3 linked regions of the Drosophila melanogaster genome follow. The protein of the gene in region 3 interacts with the protein of the main gene of each other region in a pairwise test. Each region holds a gene or a part of one and is shown on either strand. Other genes may lie near its edges.

Region 1 (5,068 bases), on a different chromosome or scaffold from region 3:
GAATGGAGAATTCAGTTTGAGCGGTGTGGTGTGACCAGTCACGTTTACTGCAATTAAGATCATACATACGCAAAGCAGGTACGGTCACTCGGCAACTGTTAAGTTATTTCCCTGTTAACCGCACTCATTTTATTTTACAGTACTGTTAAGAAATGTAAATGCAATGTTAGAGAAAAAATGTAGCTTAAAATTATGCTATTTTATCACTTCATACTTTGAAATCTAAACAGTATATATATTCGCTCATATAAATCTAAGAATTCTGATTACTCATCTTAAAAAATTAAATGAAATAGAATAGATGGATAAAATGATAAAATACCCAAATTTTTAAAACAGGTAGTAAATAAATGTTGAAATGAACCACCCTAACATAGCGCCATAATAGCAGAGTTCCGAGGCATTTTGCAGCGGCTGAGTACGGTCCCACTATTCCACAGGATTCAACCGAATCACAAACAAAACGCGCAATTCCCTTTGATCGCAGATAAAGCGCTTATTTTTCTTGCCCAGCGATGGCGGAAGTGCTGCCCAAGAAGCGCAACGCCTGCGTCATCGTGCTGGGCGACATTGGACGCAGTCCGCGCATGCAGTACCATGCCCAGAGTCTTCTCGAGGAGAACTACCACGTGGACATGATTGGGTATCTGGAGACGAGGCCGCTGGAGGAACTGACTCAACATCCACGTTGCCGAATCCACGAGCTAACTGCCGTCCCAGTGACGAACCTAACACCCAAACTGCGCCTGCTCTTCAAGGCCTTTTGGCAGACGCTCAGTCTGCTGATGGCTCTCATCTCCATTGGCCGTCCCAGCTTCCTACTCGTCCAGAATCCGCCCGGCATTCCCACGCTGATTGTGTGCTATCTGTACTGTGCGGTCACACGAACCAAGCTGGCCATCGATTGGCACAACTACACGTACACAGTGCTGGCATTGGGAATGTCGAAGGGAGAGCAGAGTCCTCTAATACGATTGGTTAGGCGACTGGAGCGATACTTCGGCTCCAAGGCACACACACACTTCTGTGTGACGCGGGCCATGCAAGAGGATCTGCAGCAAAACTGGGGCATTGGGTAAGTCCTCATCACATCCATCTAAACGAAGTAAATAACTCAGCCGCGACTCATCTTTCAGGCCTGTCAAAGTTCTGTATGATCGTGCGCCCGCGCAATTCCATCCCATCGACTTGACTCACAAGCACGAGCTGTACCTGAAGCTGGCCAAAGACTACCCACAGTTCCAGGCCAAGGACGCCGAACAATCCGATGTTCTGGAGGCCACCGCTCTTACCCAAAAGCTGGCCAGCGGTGTTGTGCAGTACAGACCACAGCGACAAGCCGTGCTGGTTTCCAGCACCAGTTGGACGCCGGACGAGGACTTCGGTATACTGCTTAAGGCTTTGCAAGCTTACGAGGAGACTGCGCAAGCAGAGCCGTTGGTTTATCCTTCCCTGCTGTGTATCATCACCGGAAAGGGGCCACAAAAGGAGCACTATGTGGCGGAGATCGAGAAGCTGCAATGGCAGAAGGTGTCGGTGATCACGCCCTGGCTAGAGATCGAGGACTACCCCACTGTTCTGGCCAGCGCCGACCTGGGCGTGTGTCTGCACTGGAGCACCAGTGGGCTCGACCTGCCCATGAAGGTGGTCGACATGTTCGGCAGCGGGCTGCCTGTCTGCGCCTACGATTTCAAGTGGTAACTAATCCTGCCATTTACTATTATTACTTACTAACTTCTACAAATGGCTCTTTAGCCTGGATGAGCTGGTGAAGCACGGCGAGAATGGCTTCGTGTTTGGCGACCATGTTCAGCTGGCCGAGCAGCTGAGGATTTGGTTCGAAAATTTTCCAAAGAATCCCAGCATCCTGGAGACAAGAGCTGGTTTTCAGCGCAAAATCCAGGAGTTCCAGGAGCTGCGATGGCGGGAGAGTTGGCGCCTGATCGCGGCCCCCGTACTGGAGGCATTTCTATAGAGCATTTTGACAAAGATTTGACAATTACACGTTATGAGAGACTTCCTTTGATTGCTAATCGCTTTTTCTAGGCTAGTTACTACAAATTCTGTACACAAAAGAGCTTCAAACTTGCTTATGATGCTTATTTTATTTTTATAATCGTAGCCTAAAGATAAAAATAAATTGCTAAAAAAAGGAGATATATACAACTATTTATTCGCTTGTAAAGCGTGTTTTCTTAGGAGTATTATGTATTTCAATTAAAAAAGAAAATTCACGGGATGCAGTGCCGATTTTTTTTTATTTGAACACCAATATCGATAGTCTGAAATAAACATCGATATATCGGAAAATTTTAAAAACATCAATGTTTGACACCTCTAGTTGCGGACAACGGTCACACTTCAAAACCAAACCGGCTGCGCAAAAATTACTATAATTTGTAATTAAAATTAATCAATTTTATTTAGTTTCGAAAGAATGAGCACCGAGTGTCGGATCTGCGGCGAGCGCATCTTCACGCCGCACCCAAAGAACATCTTCGAGAAGCGCAATCATCGCATTCGGATGGCCATCGAGCAAATCACGGGCTTAGAGGTGGCGTCCCTTTTATTTGTTGTCCGGAATTATTCATAATCTATGCATTTCCAGATCGTTTTAGAGAATATGCTGCCCCAGCACATATGCGCTTGTTGTCTCCTGGACCTGACCCAAGCCGTAGCCTTCAGGCAGCGATGCCTGGAGACGCACGCAAATCTCCACCAGAGGATCTCCTCGAAGGCGGGTGTCGCCTCAAAAGGCTCCCCGGAGGTTTCGCCAGTGCTTAGTGATCCGCTGCTGAAACGGGAGGTGCTGGATGATACAGTAGACACCGAGGACGATAAGGAGCTACTGGACGATGATAAGGATTTAATGGATGATGATAAGGATTTCTTGGAGGACGAAAAGCCGATTTTAAGATATCCTCCGGCCAAAAAAATCCGGATCGAGGACCAAAATTTCCCGAACAGACAGTCCCCACGAGTCAGGGTCAAGCGGCTTCGTGTGCCTGTGGTCGAGAAGGCAGATAGTCCACCGCCACCTCCGCGGGAGCACGTCCGAAAGCCCAGAAAGCGGCGACCAAAACCCAAGGTCGATCGCTCGATAAAGCGATACGTGTGCGACCAGTGCGGTTGGTCGTTCAACGATCACAGCAACATGAAGGATCACAAGCTGCGGCACTTCGAGGAGAAGTTTTCATGCGACGAGTGCGGTCGCAAGTTCTACACCATGCCACTGCTCCGATTGCACATTCGAGTCCATCACAAGGGCGAGAAACCGTACGTCTGCAAGTTCTGCGGTATGGGATTCGCCAATAGTCCCAGCCGCTGTCGTCATGAACGGTGAGTGCTGGCCTAATCATCACAAGTCCTTATCTATATAAACCATAAAAACCTTGACAGTCAAATGCATGCCAACGAGCTGGTGCACCCGTGCAAAATATGCGGCAAACGATTCAACAGCGAGAAGGGACGGCTGAAGCACGAGGAGGGGCACAAGAGTGACCAACCGGATGTCCATATGTAAGAATCATTGAAATATACGTAGCCATAGATGTACAAACTCATATTCTTTCACAGCTGCCTCACATGCAACAAGGAGTTCAAGGAGGCGCAGTTTTTGCATCGGCACTACTCCACAAAGTATCACCGCAAGCGGGTCAACTTGCTGGTTAATGGTCCAAAAGAGGAATTCCAGTCTGAAGTCGATCCGGCGGAGTTTCCGGGATATATGGAAGAGGGGCAGGCAGAAATGGAGGACAACCAGGCTGAACTGGACGTAATGTTAGATAACATTGACGAGGAACAATATGAGGACCACGAGGTACTTCAGGATGAGGACGCAAATTTTGAGGACTTCGAGTACGAGGAAGCCATTCCCGATGGAGAGGAGCTGTACACCTAACTTTAAGCACACAAAAAAAATCGACTGTTGGCGCCACACACTCCACACTCCACACGCCACAATGCCAGGGATGCAAACTATCTGACTTTTTCGGTGGTTCAGAGAAATCCTTTGAATCACCAGCCAGCCGTACGATTAGCACCAGTGTGGAAGGAATTCAACGTCGGTCTTAGATTACAATTTGTTATAAAATATATTTTATTCTAATTGCACAGCGCGCTTATTTTAATAAAAATTATATGGAACCAATTTCAAAAACGTCAGGAATTAGCCGAACGTGTGTTTTAGCTTGAACCTCTCTTTTTGGGAAAATTTAACCTCCCGTTTATAATATATAAATTTTAAATTATAAAAACTAGCTCGATGTTCCCTGGTTTCTAGGAAATAAGAACAGTTAGTTTTTCCACACCTATCTGGTAACGCCATGAAACAGGTAATTCATACAAATTTTGCTGCTTAGAGAGAGTAAACAGAAATTCTCGGATTGCGTACGCTCTTTTACCGTTTTTATTCCATAATTGACAACATAAAATCAATTAAACTACAGCTGATTGTTTTGGGAATTCAGCGGGATAAATGATCATATGTTTGAAATGAAAAAGCCTTCGCAATGCCATTTGTGCGCCTCGTGTTTCTGTCACCTGAATCCCACGATAATTTTTTGCCTGGAAGTTCTGGCCAAGATCAAGGATCTCACTGGAATATGGGTATGTTGATGGTTTCTTGTGTGCGTGAATGGCATAACCCATTTACTCCATTTACAGTTAGAACAGAATGAACGCCAGCCGCGTCATATTTGCCCATCTTGTTTAAATGACTTGAACACATCGATTAAGTTAAAGAAGCGCATTCAACGAGTTCACAATGAAGCAACGCTGAGGCGGGAATCTGGGCTTGATGAGGATCTAGAAAGCACTGTATCCGATATAGAGCCAGAAGGGGATTCCAGTGACTTGGAATCGGAGGAATCATATGATTCAGAAAACTATCCATTTGACAAAAAAGCAGAGGAATCCGATATTGATTTAAATCTCGCCCATGAGGATAGGAGAAACGAACCACATAATCCTTATGATTCGGAAACCCCCTTAATATTTAAGCATAAAAATCCATTAATTGAGACTCCTTCATTTGCAAATGAAAACTTGCCTAACAAAGTCGATGCAA
Region 2 (8,734 bases), 160 kb from region 3:
GCTTAATGGCCTTCACCCGGTTGTCCATCATGTCCGATGGAGCCACAATGTGTGCTCCAGCTTTGGCATAAGCCACGGCGATCTCGGCTATCCGCTTTATGCTGGGTCCGTTCTCCAGACCCGTTTCGCCCAGCAGGCCGCAGTGACCGTGCGAGGAGTACGGGCAGATGCACACATCACAGGCTATCAGCAGATCCGGAAACCATTCCCGGAGCTTCGGCAGTGCGAGAACGACTGGATTCTTTGCTGAATCCGCATTGGAGGCCTGCTCATCCTTCATGTCCGGGTCCACAACGCCAAAGAGCAGCACCGACGACAGTCCCTTGGCCACCAGCGGTTCCAGGTGCTCCTTCAGGCGATTCAGTCCGAATCTCGAGATTCCTGGCATGCTGGCAATTGGCTGGACATCGTCGTCGTTGCTCACGATGAACACCGGATACATGAGATTGTGCGGCGCTATCTCGCAGCCCGACTCCTGCAGCTGCCGCAGCGTGGCATGGTGCATTCCACTGTGCAGTTTCCGCTCCATTTTGTTCGCTTAGCTCCCGGTGAAAATTAAAACCAACGTAACAACAAGTGAAATTAACGTTCAACTGCCCGCGGGCATATTTAGTGCGTGCTCTATTGCACGGTTGTCCAACACTGTCATGAAAAGATTAGGGTGGCTCACGATAAAATAAAATAATTAAATTTAAAAACTTATATAAATAATTAAGATAAAATTTTATTTATATTAAGAATTTCATAGCGATAAATCCCTTAATTAATTTTTTATCCATATTGATTAAGGATAGGTCAACACTGCGTATGCGTAGTATTACTTGAATATTGCTATTGAATTTGTAATTTATTGAATTCCAGGATTTATTATTAAAATACCCGGTAAAATAAAAGAAAACCACACTGTTTATTTCTGCGTACGACTATTTATTTAACTTTATTAGTTCTCCCGTTTAAAATGTTTGGTATTAATCGTTATTACAGCAATAAAAGTTGGTGTTCCTGCTACGCTTCCTCACACCCACATACACACATCCTCGATCCTTGGGCCTTCCCCGCTCCACTTTGCTTGTTAATGGATAACTAAACATATGGTCTACATTATATAGATGTACACGTTATACGAAATATTACAAATAGTTGGCCAACATGCTATGCTTAGGCGTAATTCAAATAAACACGAATACATAAGTTATTATTTTAGCCTGTCCTTGCTTAAAGGTTGTACTTTTGTCTTAGTTTTTAGCATTGAAATCAGTGAACGAGAAACGGAACTAAAGCCTAACTTAAGCGTAAACGAATTGGGTTCAGTATTTGGTTTGGTTTTCAATTGTAAGTAACAGCCATTGGAAGTGCGTGTTTTCCTCTGTCTTGGGTTTTGTTGCGATGGTTTCGATGATGGCGATTAGCTTGTGCATCGGATTCCGTGTTTCCTGGACTAAGAAACCAGCGTGTGATGGTAGTGTACACGCTTCTTCTTTCGACGCCTTGGTCGCGGTTTCAATTGACCCACGGCTCCATTATTCATATTTTCCTCCTCCTGAACTCCGACTGCTGCTCCATGGATAGTGACAGTGTAGGAGTGCAGCTGGAGCATCTCTCCGACGGTTCCCGGTTCCTGACTTATGCTGTGTGATGCTGGTGTGTGACTGGCGGTTGGTGGTGCGCTAGAAGTAGCTACTGCTGCTGCTGAGGAGTCCACCTGAGCTTGTCAGGCGAAAGTCACTTGGTAGAAGAGCCACTCTTCCATGAACGACGGCACAAACGCCTTGGTGGTGGTGAACTTCACCTTGGGACGCAGCAAATTCAACTGCTCCTCGAATAGACGCAGCTGCACCTTGCAGGTGGACCCATTGCCATGAGTCAAATACTTTCCGTCGGGTTTCAGCACCTTGAAGGAGTGCTCGAAGATGGTACGAATGAAATCCCAGGTCTCGCCCTCCGGGGCATCGGTTATGGGTATGTCCGTAAGATCCCCAAAAACGTAGTCGAACTTGCGGCCCTCGGCGATGAACTTCTTCAAGTACTCCACACAGTCGCCCACAATGATCTCGTACTGATCGCCCTTGCGTTTCTCCAGCACATCGCCGCAGATCACGTTGAGGTATTTGTTGCAGGTTTGCATCACAAGCTCATCGATCTCCAGCATCACCACATGCTTCGGATTCTCCTTGAGTAGCTCGTACAACAAGGCGCCATCACCGCCGCCCAGGATGCAGATCTCCTTGCCCTCGTAGTTCTCCACGCCGCGACACATCAGGGTCTCCGTGTAAATCAAATCGGATTCAGCAATGTCTGTACGTGGAAAATGGGAAATTAGACATCTATATTTAAAAAAGAATCAAAAGAAGTTGCTATTACCCTTTTCATAACCGACAGCTTAAAAAGTTTTTAATCTAGTCGAGAATTCATGTTTTCAAATTCAGCTTTCTTATTCTTCTTTTAAGCAATAAGAATATTTCATTATATTTAGTTAACAAGCAACTAGGTGTTCGTGATATGGAATAATTGTCAGGTAACATAGCATTAGCATCCAGAAAATGCCCGTGATATGGAATATTTACTTTTGTGCATTATGTTTATGTGCAGTTTATATTTATTTATGATGACCTTTTCTTAAAGGCAATTGCACGTGACCTTTACTGCGGCACTTCCACTAATCGATTGGTGACCCTGACACCGTTGGCGCATCAATGTGTGAATGTGCCACTTATTGCATTCAGATGCCTATACTAGGTATGGTTTACTTACTCTGCAGCTCGTCGAGGAGCAGCATGTTGCCCAGGGTCTTGGAGTGCATGATTTGAATCTTCTGGAAGGGCGAGCGCGCCTCGAAGACCACCTTGTCGATGTCGTACTCGATGATGCGCTCATCTGCGGAAGATGTGCCATGGATTAGTGATGCCTTATTAGTGACCGTATTAAGTGCGATATTGATTATTACTAGTACTGATTTCGGCTCAATTGTTAGGCGTCGCATGCAGAGAAACAAGTTTAAGACCAACGAAATGCACTCTTACGGAAAGTAAACGAGATATAGATAGAGAGAAAATCAGAAGTAAATGACTGAAATGATCTATCATGCTGGGTGCCACTAGAAGAACTCTGATACAATCAGCTCGATGGTGCTGCATACGCTCAATGGTCATACGGTCATACGATCACACACAATTCGGATGACATACAGTAGCGGTAGTACGAGTAGTATTTGCTCTATTTGCAATATGTTTAACCAAACGGATTGGGTTTGCCTTACCTGACGATGGGAAGTACCTGGAGACATCGCCGCGCTTCAGCGTCGGCAGCTTCTGGGCCTTGATGGCCTTCAGTTTGATTGCCAGGACATTCTCCAGGCTCTTACCGCTCTGCGGATGTCCGTTCGATTTTACATAGTAGTATATTGTTTTTTTTTTTTATAAACCGTGTTGTATTGATATTTTCGTGTTGTTGTAGTCGATTGTCAATTGTTGAGGAACCAATTTATGAGCGAGCGTACGACGTGGAGCGAATACGAGTACGAGATCGATTTCGAGGCGGGGCAGGTGACACATGTGCGTTGGGGCGTAAGTATAATTCAATAGTTTACACATTTATTCACAAGTTCGTGGCAATTTTGGTGTGTAATTTGGTCCAGGAGATGGTGGCAGCGGTTGTTCATGATGATCGATGGATCGGTTGAGTGTCGATGGAATAGATATGAAAATAAAACGTAATTTAAATTAAATAATAATCTTAGAACAGTGGGTATGCTAAATTGCAGTGATGCCAAGGAGCTGATATAAAATCAGCGTGGATACATAAAGGTATAAAGAGATTAAACCCACAGTACAATAATATGAGCAACTTGGCACCACTACTGCAAAGGTAGAAGGCTTCTTCCAAAGATTAGACAAACTAGCATGCAGGAGTGGCCTGGAAAAGTAATCCCCTAGAAGGTAACACGCTAGGCTAACATGATCGGTGGCTTTGGAGATGTGCAGAGCTTGGGAGGCGGTTCAAATTCTGGGCTGGAAATGACAACTCGGTGAATTTACATCAGCTGCGATACGGTGTCCAATTTATGTGATAGTCATGAGGGTTTTTTTTCTAATTTTATTTATTTTCTTTGCGGTGGCGGCAATCGGAAATACTAGTGGAAAAACTGCACAGGTGTTCTAGATTCTGCAGTGGAATTTTGAAAGAGAATTTCGGCATAAATTGTAGGTAATTGTATGTGAAGTGAGTTTGAGTAGATAAGTTATATATATTCATTGCAAATGAAACTAGCAGGAACTAAACTGGATTTTTTTTGATTGTACATATATGTAGGTTGCATTAAGTTCGACCAACCTGAGCTAGTCATATATATGTCGATATATCCGCCGCGTTTAATCGGCGGCAAGTACTTGGACCGATCGGAATCAAATTTCTGCCGCAAAATCAGTTCCATGGTGCGCATGGTCTGCAATGGTAATTCCATTATTGAGGTCCTTCTTGCAAGGGGGCGTCGGATGTACAAATGTGCATGTTGGCTCGATGGGGGCTGGGGTACTCAGTATGAATAAATTATATTAATGGAAGGTGACCTTCATCCGCCAGGCGCGGAAAACTCTTCGAACGACCCACCCCACTCACACCAAACGGCGACACACAGGCAGCCCGGCCCAAGAAAAATACTATTTTTAGTCCAAATACTTGATACTTATGAAAAAGGAAAGTGAACAGAACGAAACGAAAAAGGGAATATATACCTATATCTAGATATAGCTAGTAGCCATGCAAGTATGTGCATTCTGGCGACACATTTGTTTAGTTGCATGTGCAGCAGGCATATGTTATTGCAAAATCACAGAAATCACAATAGAAGGCTTAGCCACATGCGGCTTGCGAAATCCACAGGCCAACAGCAAACAGTCGTAAGCAGAAAAAATATTGACGGCTAGATAAGAAAAGTTCCGCACTCGCGAATAAAACAGCTGCGATCGGCAAGATATAGCATTTCAAATGATACGAGGAAATAATAATGGGTCTGATAATATTAGTTACTCCTATAGAAAAGTTGGTTTAGGTTGATTTCTTTGTTCGATTACTTGATTAAATTATTTATAAAGTACAAAGGTTTGTTGAGATTATATCCTAACTAACTCCATCATTGTATAAAAATATAATTTTATAAAAATTTTACTTGGGATTTTGTTAAAGCTATAGTTATAGAACAAAACAATTTTAGACTTTTTGACATAATTTAATTTTTTTGATGCTATTTAGCTTACCGTAGCTGTAGGCATATGTACATGGGACATTTTCTCTAGCATTTTAGATGTACTTAAACAAATGATGGAAGAAATTGAAATATTCTATCAAATTTTATATTCTTTGTTGTTTTACAAACAAATACTGGTTGTCATTTTGAAAACCCTCAGATTTGTGGTATCAACAGTCATTTTGTTGACTTAGGTTTGTTTATATGTGCATGCGTAAGTAGAGTAAACTGGTATAAGAAAGTTTAAGTATCAAATGAAATAATGCGTGCCTAAGGGTGTAACCTGAAATCTGGTTTCTGTAATAAGGGCCGCATATTCCGGGTGTTTTTCTTCTTATTAGTATGGGTACCATGCCCCAAAGGGGCGCCAATCAATAGATCGCGAGTCGAACCCAACCCACGTGCTCCGGCCAAATGTGAAAAGCATAGAAACGGGACCGGAACGACAAGTTAACCTAGCAAAGCCCAGCTGAAATCGCTATGTATGTGATGTGTGCTTCAGAGGTGTTAGATAATAGAAACTGGTGAAAGTGCTGGGATGGGGGCAGCCATCACTTGAGGCCAAGGACGGACGAACTGACCCTGACCAAGTGCCGGCCATTTGAGCTCGCCGAGTGGTCAGGAACACACTCACACACACAACCAATCAACCCACCCACATGGTTGCCCACTTGCCATGCACACACCCCCACATGTATGTATGATGAAGCAACAACACTCGGGTACAAGTGCGCGGAAAATCAATTTTACCCGGTGGGTGGAAAACCCTTTCCCCAACTAATCAGCCGAGACACGGAAACTGGGAGGGTAAGAAAGATGTGGGTGGTGGTGCTGCTGTCGGGTGTTTGCTTGCTTGTTTTTTGAGTTTTTTAAAGGAATCTAAATTGCACTGAATACGTACGTCGAAGGATATGCTCGGCTCCTTGCCATCGGGCAGGAAGTACTCCACGTTGAGCGTCAGCAGGCCGTGCTGGAAGATGCGGCAGGTAATCACCGTGTCCTTGTTCTCGTGCAGCACCGCAAAGTAGCCGTTTTCCGGCGACTCCATCGAGTAGGCCAGCTCCAGCTGGGGGAACAGCTGCTCCAGCTCGTTACGCAGGATTTTGGCCACCTGGAGGCGCGCCTCCTCATCCGCCGTCTTGTCCTTGTCCAGCGTGAAATCAAACAGTATCGTCTGGGCCGCCATCGTGCTTAACTTGCGCTAATCCGTTGAACAAAAACGCTGAACCGCGTACCGACCGAAACGAAATACTAGTGATGCGCCTTACGAGCACCGATAGCAAGTCGATTTCGATTGCACTTCTAGTGTGGCTGTATAATACAGTTAATTAAACCTTATTATTTTTTTTAATATAAGAAACGGTTTATTAAATAATTGTAAAAAATAATAAAGTACATTTAATAATAATGTTATAAATTCCTCTTAATAAATTTTTGAAGGGTACTTGGCCCACAATTTTGTATTGAATATATAGCGCTTTGTTATGTATGTTTACCTAATAAATATTACATTGGTACGTTTTGCTGGAAACACAATTAAATACAAATCTTAATTAATATTTAAGAAATATTTCTTTAAATCTATCGTGTCACAACCCAGCCACTGAAACACCCCCGCCCGCACCTATCGATACGTGCTCCCACTTATCGGCAGTTGGCTGCCCACTTTTGCCACCCCTAAATCGCAGTTCCCACGACAAGTTCCGCACTTGCTCGGAGTTTTTGGGTGTAAACAACATTGGAACGCGGTAAATCATACAAAAATTACATAAATCGCATAGGTGACAGCAGCGTGGAAGGGTAGTGCGTACCAGTGCGGAACATGAAAAGCACACCAAGAGCGAAATCAATGCGCACCTGAACCTGAACTTGAATATCGCATGTGTGCTATGTGCTATTGTTGCTGCTTTTATGCTAGACGTAGGCCAACAACACAAGAACAACAAGGCTGCGCTGACGGGAACAATGGTCTGCTAATTATAAATCTCTCGATCCCAGAGAATCGAATCAGCCAGCAGACGACGGATATTGTGCTTGTGTTCAGACGTTCAGATGCTGAGTGCTCAGTGCTTGGATGCGTGGGCGCCGCAGCATGCCAATGTTGTTACGTCGTCGCCAAAGACCACCCTTCCGCGACCAACCACCCCCCAAATCGCCCACAATCCTCCCCATTTTATATATCGCGACGGTGTCGCCACAGTTATTACCCAGCATATTGATTTTCTGAATCCTTTCAGCTCTCTCGCCCCAAAGGATCTGCCCACATATGTGTTTTTTTTATTTAGTTGCTTGCAGGTTAGTAAGTGTATTATACCCTTGGTATTACCAACCCGCCTAAATGTTTACCTTCATTAAAATCTTACAGAACAGCACACGCAATCGCCGCCAGTCAGCCCAATTAGCCTGATTTCGTGTACGTCATCGCCGAGCCCAAAATAATTTGCATTGCGACCAGCCAGAACGCCGGACCAAAGTCGCATTTGCATTGTGCTCGCTCGATGACGTCTGGCTTTACTATTTATATGGCCGGCAGCCAGAGGCCATCGCACAATGAGCTCGGTTCGAGAGATCCGGCAGATAGAGCGAATTAACTTGACAAAAGGGGGGCATGATAACCACTTAGCACCTTCACCTTAGATGATAGAATCATTTCGTTCGGACTAAAGCCAACATGCAGCACAGCAGCGCGGGAAGTGAGGAACGGATAACCAGTTCCACCAGCAGTCCCAGATCCGGTCACAAGACCGCGAGCTCCCTGTTCGGTTTGCTGAGCAAGCGACCTAGTAAGGTGGAGCCACATCCCGTGACACCCGAATCGCCAAGATTACAACAGAGACCCGTGTCCGCCTGTGGCCAATACGATGTCAGTTTCGCCAAGTGCAATGCAGATACGTCTGCAAACCATGTCAATAACAATGGGAGCACCCTCAAAAGCCAAACGCTGCCGCTGGAGAAGTCGCACAGCGGGCTGATCAGCTTCCACAGGCGTGCAAAGCCAAGTTCCTCGAAAGGAAAGAATCACTCGCACCGGCACAGTACGGATGCTGGTTCCCAAAGCGATGGAGGAGCCGACGTGGTGATGCGGCGCAAGTCGCCCAAGCATCGCTCACCCAATCACAATAGATTTAGTCACCAGTTCAGTCTGTGCTGCAAGGCGGAAAAGAAACCGATGACACCGCCGGTGACCGTGCGTTATAACTCCATACCGGATAGCAACAGTGTTCTGCGGCGCGATAACCTCTCGCTAAGTTGGAGCATGGTGGACAACAACTCGGGCTCGCTGCACTCCAGCGAAGGATCCTCACACCGACCGCGTCCGTCCAGTGAGTGTGCCAGTGCGCCAGAATCACCGGTGGCCAGCAAAACCTTCTTTGCCCACTGCAGCCCTGCTGCGGCCAGCGCTTCGGTGGCACGGAGCGAAAGCCTTCAAAATCGCTCGCCCATTCGACCCATGGCAGTATCAGCCTGCCGATCCCGACTGCGTTTAAAGCT
Region 3 (4,929 bases):
AGCAACAACGACCATCGACCAACTGGCAACATGCGGCATGCTGCATGGAGCATGCAGCATGCAACAGACAACGGACAACATTCAACAATGCGACATTGCACGGGCCTTAACTTAAATTATGCGCCAAACAAATAAGGTTTCGCCCAGTCTCAACTTCGGAGCCCGTCTCATAATGATGCCATGGGGCCATCGGCAAGTTGTTAATGTTCATGCACTGAAAGTATATATTTAATATTAAAACGAAAACTATATGCTAGCATTTAAAAATTGTTCAATTTTATGCAAACTTATTGCCTTACTACTAAATATTCAAAGCTTATATTGCTTGAAATGTTTTTTTAGTTTATTGATTGGATTTTTTTTGAGTGTGGAACAGTGGCTGTGTAATGTCGCCAGTTGCACAAAGTCATGGCCACAGTTGTCGGGCTTTTTCCTCCAAATGCGATGGGGTTGCCGAGCGGATGGCAAAAAAGAAACAATGTCAGCAACCGCAAGAAACAATTAAGTTGGCTCGACACAATGAGGAAAGCTACGATCAACAAGACAGTTGGATCACCGACTTTATGTGCTGCTGCCTGAATTGGACTGGGATTGGGATCGGGATCGGTACTAGAATAGAGTGGAATGGATCGGTATGGTATGGTATGGTATGGAGTGGAGTGGAGTAGAGTGGAGGGAGCCGTGGCATCATAATTGCAGTCCCAGTTGCAGATTTCCTATTTCCTATGAAAAAAATTTTTACACATTTCCAGATCGTAAAATTAAGAGTTTTGCATTAATGCGATATATAAAGATGCTTAACATATATGATACTTATTATAACTATATCGGCTAAGATATTTAACTTCTTCAAGTAAATGAAATTGTTCTACCTTTAAAGTGCATTCAATATAGCCCTGATATTCCTTCTTATCTGGGCCATCTAACAGCTGCTGCTGCTGCGGCACGAGCCAAAAGTCATTAAAAAATAAAAAGACTTCTCGATGGCAGAGAGCAGCTTTTTCGATTAAGTGACAGGTTAAATGCTAAACCATAAGTTTTGGCCACAAGCAGCTGGCAATCACCGAGCACGAGCCACAAACTTTTGCAGCCGGCCGAAATGCAGGAGCCAGGAGACTACACTGAGAATTACAAATTAAATGGAGCAGTTTTCAATGTATTAATCTGTGAAACAATGTCTGAATTTTTTCCCAAATGAATTGTATTGTTTTAAAGAATGTAACATATTAATATATGGACAGACTGATATTGTAACCCTATTGTTGGCCGGATTTGTTCACTTTTTCTCCATGTGAGAACGGCAAGAGTCGGAAGACAAGAGAATCATTCGAAACCGGTTGCAAGTCTCCCACAGGCACCTTCTGTCTGATGCGACGACGTGCGTCGGTCCAACTATAACCATTAGTCGCAATCTTTGGGCAATTGTCGCTGATTGCCGTCGTCCGTTGTGCCTTGTGCTTTTTCCAGATACAGATGCAGATGCAGATGCTGTTCGCAGATGCAGATACATTTGCTGCGGCAAATGCCTGCTGACCCATCTTGATTAGCTAAAAGTGCGTGCGAAATCCACATAGAATGACATCTGTGGTAATTGTCCTTACATCAATTCATTTCAATTAAATGATCTTTATTGTATTAGGAGGCAGTGCCTAACAAATATAAATGCTAAAGCAAATGAAATGCACTTCATTTGAATTGGTAAAGTAAATAAAATAATTGATGCAAGAAAATATGTATTGAAGAGAGATATTTTTGTTGGAACACTTAGTTTTATTATTGAGCTATAAGCCAAACAAGAGGACTTTGATACATTTAACTTAAATCGCGTTTGATTTACTGATAACGTTTACTTTAACAATATCCAAATTACGAACATTTGAAGTCTTAACTAATAAAAACTTTTAAATTGCCCGCCATTTTAACCAGGGCTGCGTATTAATGTTAAATTATCGATAAGCCAAACCAATAAACAGTGTTCAAAAACTTCACTAACTGCAACAATCGATATTACTGCACATCTATCGACTCTTGTTGCATCTCTAGGACAACAGGAACAGGAATTACAAAAGATATTTTTCCACCAATTATCAAAATAAAAACACAACAATTCACGCTATCTAGCGCTGGACACAAAAGACCGCAACGTAATGCCGTCCAGAAATATTGACGATGCCGCCGGCGCCAAGGAGGTTCACCGAAGTACAAGGAATTCACTGATCGGCCCGAAGAGCAAGCGAATCGCCCTAAACAGTCGCAATCGCAGTCTTGCTGCCGCCGAAAAGAAAACTCAGTCGCAGCTGTCATTCCCGCCAAAATCGGAGTACGAGAAGTTCTACGAGACCGTCTTCCTGGCGGAGGATTTGCAGCCGGAGGAAGTGAGTCCATCGCCCCACATGGGTTGTTGGGGTACTTACCCGGTTTTACCGAGTACAGCCACACACCAAATATCTTGTTTACCTATCCCACATGGGTGGCAATAGACCTGTTTACCTTTTCATAATGTGTTTTGGCACTACAAAGCGAGATTCGTTAAAACATGTGATAGGATATCAAATTTGACCTAATTTCTGTATGAAAGTCCACTTCAGTTACATAGTCCAACATGGACCACTAGCGAACATACTAAAATTCTAATTAATCACTCAGTAACCATGCTTCTAAACCAACTAACTCTTCTAGAATATAACACCAGAACGTCGTAAGCCAGGACCGCGCATGAAGAGCTCACTCCAAGCCCTGTTGAGCGATGAAGGATCACCGACGGGACCACAGCGAACCGCCAAGATAAACGTTGCACAGAAAATGGTCGTTGAGCCAGCGATCCGAGCCAATGGCATCTCGCCATTGCCCAAGAATGTTGGCAAGGAGGAAAAGTTTGAGGACTACTATACGAAAACGGAGCGACACGTTTGGAAAAAGGATGCGGAGAAGATGTTGCTGCAACTGTGGGCACAGCATTTGAAGGATTTTCGTGGAGAGTCCAAGAATGTGATCATCTACCGGCAAATGGCTAGGGAGATGAGTCAGTTTGGGCCCAGCCACACGGAGCTTAAAACCAAAATGGACAATTTGTCGCGAAAGTATAGGTGCGCTCTTATATTTTGCATACCAAAAGTTTTTATTTTTATAGTATATTAACTTTTATATTGGTATTTACAGAATAGAAGCTGAGAGAGTTCGGGAAACTGGAGTGCCATCCAAGTGGGAGCACTTTCATAAGCTTCAAGCACTTCTGATTGGCACGAAATCAGTTGATGTCTTCGAAGATATTACCGCCGAAAATCCAGGTAAAGTCGTAGTGCAATAAATGCTAGTTATGTCATTATGTCTTAAAAATACGCTAATTTTACAGCTCAAGCTTTGTTCAGCGATGAGGATTATGAGCCTGAGGAATTGTCTTCATTAAAAGACGAGCCTATGGCCGGGGACGATGGGAACGTATTCGAAAGTGATATGGTTGCTAGCAAAGCCATGAAAAGAACGCGAACTCCCTCTCCCAGTATTCCGGAAATCCCGGAAGAAGACGAGGAGGAGGAGGAGGAGGAGGAGGATGATGACCACATGAAGGATCTCTCCCCATCGCCAATTTCAAAATGTCAGACAAAACGGAAAGCATCGAACAACCATTCGGACAGACTCCTTGAAATAGAGGAGGAAAAACTGGCGATCGAGCGAGAAAAGCTGCAGGTTATGAAGGATGCACTGCTGGAGCTAAACGCATTTCACAAAGATATTGTTTATTTGCTTAAGCATAACAATCAGTAGTGTAAATATTAAGTGTTATACGTAGAAGTAGCGTGGTGTTACTTTTTCAGCAAAATATACAACTAAAACAGTGAATATTTAATGTAATATTGCTTCAACTTCAAATTAATCTAAATATATATATATATATTGTAAAAAGCTAGATTTTGCATTGTTATGATCTTACAAATTAGTTTCTTAAGTAAAAATAAATGCAATGAAATTATATTTTACTTTTTTTAGCAAAACTTTAATTACTTACTTTACTTTAATATTATAAATTTGTTTTAAATCGTATTTGTTACATTTAGTTTCTCAATTCGTAAAATGTTTTTTTATTTGTATTTTAGATATAATTTAAATCGATATCATAGAACTATCGATAGATATATGAAGCCAATACCGACCATTTCTAGAAAAATCGATATCGAGCTGCTGCCCATCTCTAGGCACATTTTGTTTATACTTTTCGAGCGTAAGGACGACATGATTGAGGCCCGCACGATGCAGGACGTATCAAAATTCGAATCCAACCAGGTGATCTCGGCGAAGGTGCTCCGCGGCGAGTACCGGCTACTACGACGCAAGCAGCGCGGCTCCGTGTGGAAGGTGTATCGGGAAATCGTGCGCACCGATGGTGCCATAATCAATGGACTCTACTTCTGCACGGGCTGCAAGCGCGTCATGCGATCCTTCAACACGTCCAATCTGCGCACCCACAAGTGCCATGTGGACTACCTGCGTACCGAGGAACTGTGCGAGGAGGGGATCGCGGAAATCCATCCCCCTAAACTAGACGTACGTACAACGACGCCATTAGAAGTCAATAGTAGTCCAAATTACCATGTCTCACTTGCAGGATTCGTTGGAGCGCCGCCTGAGCTGGAACTCCTTTCAGCCGTCCGAGTGGTCATTCCACGCGGTCGAACTGCTGCTCGAGCTTTGGGCAAGGCACTGCGTCGATTTGCGAGACTCACGCAAGCGGGTCCAGGTTATCTGGAAAATGACGGGCGAGATGAAGTCACTGGGTTTCACGTTCACGGAGATAAAGAACAAAATTGATGACATGGGCCAACAGTATCGGTAATAAGTGAATATACTTATTTAAGCATATTCCTTATCTAATATTACAATTTATTTCAGGCGAGAATCGCACATGGAAAAGACAACTGGACACAAATCCCA

The links.
Region 1: the proteins of vers (region 3) and Odj interact in a two-hybrid assay, tested with the Drosophila melanogaster proteins (2 studies listed by BioGRID).
Region 2: the proteins of vers (region 3) and Sms interact in a two-hybrid assay, tested with the Drosophila melanogaster proteins (2 studies listed by BioGRID).

Annotation. Positions count from the first base shown.
Region 1 is NT_033777.3:17,806,487-17,811,554, reverse strand, and holds Odj (oddjob), read left to right. Parts: upstream 1-2,332; 5' UTR 2,333-2,437; coding exon 2,438-2,554; intron 2,555-2,608; coding exon 2,609-3,339; intron 3,340-3,399; coding exon 3,400-3,519; intron 3,520-3,576; coding exon 3,577-3,901; 3' UTR 3,902-4,148; downstream 4,149-5,068. Other genes in the region: Alg1 (ALG1, chitobiosyldiphosphodolichol beta-mannosyltransferase), read left to right, coding at 516-1,075, 1,137-1,697, 1,756-1,975; CG17801 (uncharacterized protein), read left to right, coding at 4,486-4,608, 4,666-5,068.
Region 2 is NT_037436.4:12,270,747-12,279,480, forward strand, and holds Sms (spermine synthase), read right to left. Parts: upstream 6,506-8,734; 5' UTR 6,429-6,505; coding exon 6,144-6,428; intron 4,442-6,143; coding exon 4,330-4,441; intron 3,366-4,329; coding exon of another isoform or gene 3,257-3,365; intron 2,875-3,256; coding exon 2,752-2,874; intron 2,296-2,751; coding exon 1,712-2,295; coding exon of another isoform or gene 1,439-1,711; 3' UTR 910-1,438; downstream 1-909. Other genes in the region: Pbgs (porphobilinogen synthase), read right to left, coding at 1-529; INPP5E (inositol polyphosphate 5-phosphatase E), read left to right, coding at 7,914-8,734.
Region 3 is NT_037436.4:12,114,085-12,119,013, forward strand, and holds vers (versatile), read left to right. Parts: upstream 1-2,016; 5' UTR 2,017-2,147; coding exon 2,148-2,375; intron 2,376-2,679; coding exon 2,680-3,086; intron 3,087-3,159; coding exon 3,160-3,287; intron 3,288-3,352; coding exon 3,353-3,765; 3' UTR 3,766-3,971; downstream 3,972-4,929. Other genes in the region: ssp (sunspot), read left to right, coding at 4,231-4,542, 4,604-4,827, 4,888-4,929.